Callithrix jacchus: one gene and its partner. The main gene of each other region encodes a partner of the protein of the gene in region 2 in a complex. Links are inferred from orthologs where the notes say so. Each region holds a gene or a part of one and is shown on either strand. Other genes may lie near its edges. The genes, in order: PDLIM5 and AAK1.

Region 1 (3,824 bases), on a different chromosome or scaffold from region 2:
TATAATTTGCAATGCAATTCACCTTTCTTAGCAACCGTCAATCTTTAGTATTCCTTCGCACCATTTGCTCAGCATAGATCCATGCAGTCTACTGTGTGCCAGGCATTGTTCAAGGCACCACAGAAGTACAGTGATGAAGAAGACAGTTGAGGTTGCTTTCCTCATGGGGCTTATATTCTCATTGGAAAGAGGATGTCATGATTTATTGAATTTAAGAAATAAGTAATTTCAGATTATCATAAGTACTATGAAAAAAAGAAAACAGTAATTTAATACAAAATAATTGGGGGGGCACTACGCTATTTAGGAAAATTAGAAAAGACCTCTCTGAAGATGTAACAGTTGTAACGAAAAGTGAAGAATAAAGAGAAATTGCCACAGAAAAGCTGATGAGGAACATTACAGTTAGAAGAAACAGTAAGCACAAAAGCCCCGAGGAAGGAAGGATCTCAGCATGTTCAGAAAACGCCAAGGGGCTGGGTATGGGTAGAATCTGGTGACAGAAGTCAAGGTGGGAGTAGATGAGGATGGCAAAACAGGCCCTAGTAAGAAGTGTAATTTGATGGGGCATGGTAGCTTACACCTGTAATCCTAGCACTTTGGGAGGCCAAGGCAGACGGATCAGGAGTTCTACCTGGCCAACATGGTGAAACCTTGTCTCTACTAAAAAGACAAAAATATTAGCTGGGCCTGCTGGCAGGCACCCGTACGTAATCCCAACTACTCGGAAGGTGAGGCAGGAGAATTGTCTGAACCCGGGAGGTGGAGGTTGCAGGGAGCCAAGATCAGGCCACTGCACATCAGCCTGGTGACAGAGTGAGATTCTATCTCAAAAAACAAAAAAAATAAAAAATAAAAATAAAGAAAAGTGTAATGTTTAGGCCGGGTGCGGTGGCTCATGCCTATAATTGCAGCACTTTGGGAGGCCGAGGTGGGTGGATCACGAGGTCAAGAGATCCAGACCATCCTAGTCAACAAGGTGAAACCCCGTCTCTACTAAAAATATAAAAATTAGCTGGGCATGGTGGTGCACGCCTGTAGTCCCAGCTACTCGGGAGGCGGAGGCAGGAGAATTGCTTGAACCCAGAAGGCGGAGGTTGCCGTGAGCTGAGATCGTGCCATTGCACTCCAGTCTGGGTAACAAGCCCGAAACTCCGTCTCAAAAAGAAAAAAGAAAGAAAAAGAAAAGTGTAATTTTTTTCTAGTGGAAGCCACTAAGGGGTTTATTCACATTTTAAAAAAATATTACTACAGCTGCTCTGTGCCTGCTATTTGGAGGCTGGAAGGAATGGGAGGGGCGATACCATTTAGGTGCTAATTACAATGACCAGACAAAGGGTGAAAGCAAGTTAGATTGAGTGACAGTTAAGATGGAGAGAAATAAATGACTGTGATATACAATGGAGGTAGAACTGCCAGGATTTACTATTTAGATAGGATAAGGACAGAACAAGGGAAAAAGCAGAATCCAACATGGTCTGAATGTTCTTGGCTAGTGGACGGTAAGATTATTTATTGAGATGAAGAAGACTGGGTTCAGAAATGGTTTGGGGGTTAAAAGAAAAAAAAAACAAAAACAGACCAAGTTGATTAGATGTGACATTTAAATAAATATTCAATAACATTTTTCCTCTTCTATAAGCAATTATTTGTTTTTTAAAATATGACTTCAAATACATTAAATATGGTATTAAGGCTACATAGTTTTATGTGTTTTGGCTAGATAGGGGCTACCTGCCAGTTAGTCAAAATGTTTTCCAAAGCTGCTAAAACAAACAAATCAAAATAAAACAAAACATACAAAAAAACCCCAGTTCTTTCTTCAGAAAAATTAAGTAGAATTACAAAATATAAAGTATTCTTATTGAATCGAGGAAGGCAGCTTGTGGCCAACTTGTCCCATAACAGCCCATGGGGTATTTCACTGGAATTTCTGGGGTTCCCGGGAGACAGTCTAGAATATACCCAGGTTGGTTCAAACTAAGGAGCTGAAAGGAAGATGAAAATAAGAGAATATTGAGTGGGCAAAGAAGGGCTAAATAATGATGATACAGCTTCAATTCAGAAGCTGACTGCTCCTTTAACTCCACTATTCTGGAATATCTCATTCTTCTAGCACAGCACTTTGATTTCAAGGTAGAATAAAACTCAGTAGTGAGAATGTGATGGTAGTGAGTGAAGGCATGATAAGGGAAAAATGTTTTATATTTTGAAATGTGTATGTGATAGTAATATCTAAGGGTTATATTAATAAATAAATCTTATGAAAGTTCATGTACAGACTTTGGGAAGGAAAAGGAAAAGTTCTGAGTTTATGTGATATGACAAATGTAGTAGATAGGTCCTTATAGTCTAGTTTATTAAAAACCATTTTACCATGGGAACAATCCAAGTCAGGATTACTTTCTCATTCAGTAAAAGTATCAAAGGATTTCAAATTTATTTTCAAGGCAGTTGCCTTAAAGTGCAAATCAATATCATATTCTAAAGTGGAATATTTCTGATGTTTACAACAACTCAAAATTCACTACTGGACTATAAGAAGTAGCCTTAAGGTACAAGATTTGGTTGAATTTATATCCATAAATTATTGGGAATTCAAGCAAAATATTTTTCCTACTAAATAATGCTTACATTCTCAATTATTATAATAAAGTTGGGAATATCTGTTTTGACAAAGTCACATTAAAAATTCTACATAAGGCCAGGCACGGTGGGTCATGCCTGTAATCCTGGGACTTTGGGAGGCTGAGGCAGGTGGATCACCTGAGGTCAGGAGTTTGAGACCAGCCTGGCCAACATGATGAAACCCTGTCTCTACAAAATTAGTTGGGCATGGTGGCGCATGCCTGTAATCCCAGCTACTTGGGAGGTTGAGGCAGAAGAATTGTTTGAACCTGGAAGGCAGAGGCTGCAGTGAGCCAAGATTGCACCATTGCACTCCAGCCTGGGCAACACAAGTGAGACTCCATCTCAAAAGAAAAAAAATCTACATAGTTGTTTTTCTGTATGTTTAGAGTAACATTAAATTCTCCCAAATTAATTAAGAAAATGACTTTGCCTAACAGTTTTTTGACTTTATAGTTTTATATGGGTTAATGTTTTACCTTTATTCAAAATTCAAGAAACAAATGGCTCCCTGATCTTACCAGTCTCACAGTAGGGTTCACCATCCTCCAAGTGAAAAACATTGTTCCGAATGGGCTTTCCACAGGCTACACACACAAAACAGGAAACATGCCAAGTTTGTTTCAACGCATTGATGACTTCCTGTTACAGAAAGGTAATTGGATGTTAAAAAAGAAGACAATAAATACATAAATGTTTATTCTAATATCTGTACCAGTAAATCCCTGTAAAGCTAATCCAAAGTAGGCACACATACTTCATTTTTGTCTTGAACTTTCCCTCGAAGTAACAGGATACATAAGAACAGACTCACAAATCATCTAAACTGATGCATGTTTAGATGCGTGTTCTTCACAAATGCCAATCAATAAACTTAAATAATAATCACTGTTATACATTATAATCACAGTGAATAAAGTAAGCATATTTCATAAGTGCTTACTACAAAACTTTCTGCTTCCTCTCAAAGGGTGCCAGGAAACATTAACTTACAAAGGTTTTATGGTATTATCTGCAAAAGTTCTGAAGGAAAGAGGAAGCATTTAAAAATTAAAACAAACCTATACTTTGGTGCATTCTAGAAGCAATAATATAATCGGTGTAATCCAATCAGTTTAACAAGTTAAACGTTTAGGCTTTCATAAATTAGTTATGACAGCCCTAAAGCACAGACTCAAATGAGTATCTAAAACTTG
Region 2 (3,824 bases):
ATAGGGGGTCTCATTATTTTGCCCAGGCTAGTCTCAAACTCCTGGCTTCAAGCCATCCTCCCACCTCAGCCTCCCAGAACACTGGAATTACACACATTAGCCAATGAGGTTGGCATACAAAAAGAGCAATGTATTCAAATATATCAAATATGTTAAAATCTAAGAATTCCTAAAGATACTAAACTCAACAAAACAAAAACCTCACTGTTCACCTTTGGATGCTAAGATGGAACAAATTTATTACTCTGAAAACTAGTAAACAAAAGGAAAGGATCAAGAGTTTCTCCTGCCTTTTCTGTATAAACAATACCTCAGGGTAACTAAAGAGTTGATGAAAAAATTTCTTCATGGAAAACTTCCAGCCCCCAAATGAAGAGGGTTAGAATATCATTGTACCATTCTTGATGAATTAAGGAACCTGGGAAATTATCAGCTATGGCTGCTAAGCTAATGGGGAATGTTAAACAAACGGATCAGACAGACAATAGCTCAACACACTGATTGATCTTTTTCTTTTTCCTTTTTTAAATGTTTTTGGAAAACACGGTCTTCAGGGAGATCTGAAAATACATGCTCCCTGATCTTAATATTAATGAAATAGAGGCGGACGAGGCATTATAGACCTTCTGACACCATGCAACAGGAAGAACAAAGAACAGCTGTCAGATTGAATCGAATACTGAGTAAGCCTCAAGAAATTACCAGTGTACATGGAAGATGGTCAAACACCTCAAATGACACCACAGCATGCAATCAGCTAAACCCAGAATGCAAAAAATTCCATGAGACAAATAATCCAGTTTCTCTGAAAAATTAAATGACAAAAACGAAAAAAAAAAGGGGAGAGGGAACCTATGGATAAAAAGGGACTTAAAAGATATATCAGCCAACCGCATTGGCTAATGTGTGTAATTCCAGTGTTCTGGGAGGCTGAGGTGGGAGGATGGCTTGAGGCCAGGAGTTTGAGACTAGCCTGGGCAAAATAATGAGACCCCCTATCTCTACCAATAAAAATTAGCCAGGCATAGTGGCACATGCTTATAGTCCTAGCTACTTGACGGACTCAGCTGGGATGATCACTTGAGCCCAGGAATTGGAGGTTGCAGTGAGCTATAACCACACCACTTCACTTCAGCCTGGGAAACAGAGCAAGACCCTATCTCCAAAAAAAAAAAAAAGATATACTAAACATTATAAAATGAATACGTTCATAGTAAAAAATGTGAAAAAATATACGAAAAGATAATGGAAAACAATATAGACCAACTTAATACAATCTGTTCTTATTGGATACTGATTCAACCAAGCTAACTTAATTATGAGACATCAGAAACAAACACTCATGCATATTTGATAATAAGAAACTATTGTTACTTTTTCCTCTATTATGATAATGGTGCTACAGTTATATTAGAAAAAAAAAGCAGTCTTTAAAAAATAGCTCTTGTACTGATGTTCCTCAATCAGGTGACAGATTCCTCATGGCCTGAGAAAAAGGATGAAGGGGTGTATGATGGATCCGCTTCTCAATGCTTTAGTATCTACATCTATGAGAAATGGTGAAGTAATGTTTCATGGCTCTCTGGGAAGATGCCTTTACCCAGTGGGCCTTGTCATAGTCATGACTCAGATATGCAAGCAAGGGCCACACTCTGACCACCTTACCTGCTGAGTCTGGGCCTGCTGCTGCTGCTGGTAAAATGTGCCCGCCGGCTGCTGCTGTGGTGGCGGTGGCTGTTGCTGCTGCTGTTGCTGCTTGAGGAAGAGTTGCTGCTGGTGCTGGGGTGTGGCCTGGGCCTGAGTGGGCAGACTCTGGGCCTGAGTGGAAGGCGTCTGCTGTGGAGTGGGAGGAGCCTGTGGCTGCTTGGCCTGAGATTGTGGCAGAGGCTGGCTGGGTGGGGCTTGGGGTTTTGGTTGGGGAACACTGGCTAAAAGGCCAGGCTGATTGCTGGATCCTGCAAAGAGAATAAACTCCACGTAAGGGCTCCAAACTCTTCCAGACAAAAGGGGCTTTCTGTGTTGCCAAAACAGTTAATAGGGGGTGACAAATGGGCAGATTATCCCAAGATACGTGTGCTCCTCACTGTCTTTCCACATGCTCTGTCCCACGTGGACTGTCTTTCTATCTTCTTGCTATATTATGTATTTCAAATTTTTTAAAACAAGGTTCAATATTGCCTCCTTAAGAAAGTATTCCTTTATTAATCACCCCATTTGGTCAATTACAACTTAAGTTGGCACCCTAAGTGTCCACATAGTCAACTGGCCTTTGGTACACATACCTAAGTTTTGCCCCTCTTGGCATGCAGCATGACAAAATCATTCCCTGGTGATTTACATGTAGCTTATCCCAGTCTGGATGCTTGACTATAAGTAGATGGCCACCACATTCAGCAAAAGCAGCTTCCTGGGAGGTTTCAGTTACTTGATATTTTGGATCAATCCTTCTTATGAAACAAAACTCATTCATCCCATTAGAAACAGAATACCAAAACATGAAGGTGTGGTAGATACTTCAAGGGCAAAGCATTAAGGAAACAATATTCCTCTGCGAATGTCAAAAGAGATGAGTCTTGTTTTTATTTTTTTGGGGGGGCATGTATGAAAATAAATCAGTTTCTTTGTATCTCAGCTAATCAGACTCCAAACTTCCTAAAATTGAATGTAACCTGTTTGCTAGTCCAAGCCCGTCAGCCTCTTCAGTTCTGTCTCTTCTAGGCATCTTTAATTGTTGATTTATTAGACCCAAGCAGGCATTTTTGTAGGCTAGGAGGCAAATGAATAGAATCATGCTTTCTACCCAATCATCTCCCTTGGCCCATTTCAATGTCCCAAAGTTTAATTAACAGAACAGGGAAGATACTCTGGACTGAAAACACTTTGGAAGAGTCTTGTTTCTTTACAGGCAAAGGGAAATATATGAAATAAAGTGGTAGGATAAGGTTCTAAAACCCAAAAATCAGGGCCAGGTCTAGAAAAAGATAGAGACAAGGGGCTTTAGTGGTCTTGGAGATCCATCCCAGAATTAAAGGAGGTTCCCCCTTTTGTCAGTCTTATGCCATACAATTTCTTTCTTTCTTTTTTTTTTTAAATGGGGTTTCTCTCTTATCACCCAGGCTCGAGTGCAAAGACATGGTCTCGGCTCACTGTAACCTCTGCCTCCCAGGTTCAAGCAATTCTCCTGGCTCAGCCTCCCCAATAGCTGAGATTATAGGTGCACGTCACCATGCCTGGCTAATTTTTTGTATTATTATTATTATTTTTTTAGTAGAGATGGATTATCATCATGTTGGCCAAGCTGGTCTTGAAATTAACACCTGACCTCAGGTGATTCACCTGCCTCAGCCTCCCAAAATGCTGGGATTACAGGCGTGAGCCACCATGCCTGGCCATTGCCGTACAATTTCAATGGCAGCTTCTTCCTGTTCCTCAAGGAACACTCTATGTGCCTCTAGATTCCAATCCTAAAGCAAACCAGGCTTTCCAAGATTTCCCTGTTGTCCTGAATAACAAAAAGGTGTACTGAGCTTCAAAGCAATCTAGATACTAACCTGCAGCTTGAGGTGGGGGCTGAACAGTGGCCCTCTTCCGGGGTGTCAGGGCCGGCTGGATGGGAAGGATTCCTGGGTTCGGCTGAGTCTGCCCAGCTTTAGGCCTCTGGCGGGGTGCAATTGAAGTCTCTGTGGTGGGAATGGGATCTGTCAGTCTAGAAAGGGAAAAGAGAAAGGTTCATACTAAAGTATGGGAAAAATGGAAGGATATGAGCAGAGGACACGATGCTTCCATTTCCACATCAACCCAAACCTTCCAGATCTGCTTAACTG

The links.
Region 1: the proteins of AAK1 (region 2) and PDLIM5 are in contact, whole or in part, in a crystal structure (PDB 9F6S), measured with the Homo sapiens proteins. The link is inferred for Callithrix jacchus from reciprocal best matches to the Homo sapiens genes AAK1 and PDLIM5. Residues at the interface, in NP_055726.4 of Homo sapiens: Asp956, Leu958, Ile959, Asp960, Leu961; in NP_006448.5 of Homo sapiens: Ala12, Pro13, Trp14, Gly15, Phe16, Arg17, Leu18, Phe24, Gln67, Ile70, Lys71.

Annotation. Positions count from the first base shown.
Region 1 is NC_133504.1:102,894,813-102,898,636, forward strand, and holds part of PDLIM5 (PDZ and LIM domain protein 5), read right to left. Parts: intron 3,271-3,824; coding exon 3,150-3,270; intron 1-3,149. UniProt on the Homo sapiens protein: May play an important role in the heart development by scaffolding PKC to the Z-disk region. May play a role in the regulation of cardiomyocyte expansion. Isoforms lacking the LIM domains may negatively modulate the scaffolding activity of isoform 1.
Region 2 is NC_133515.1:44,373,265-44,377,088, reverse strand, and holds part of AAK1 (AP2-associated protein kinase 1), read right to left. Parts: intron 3,707-3,824; coding exon 3,552-3,706; intron 2,887-3,551; exon of another isoform or gene 2,758-2,886; intron 1,956-2,757; coding exon 1,666-1,955; intron 1-1,665.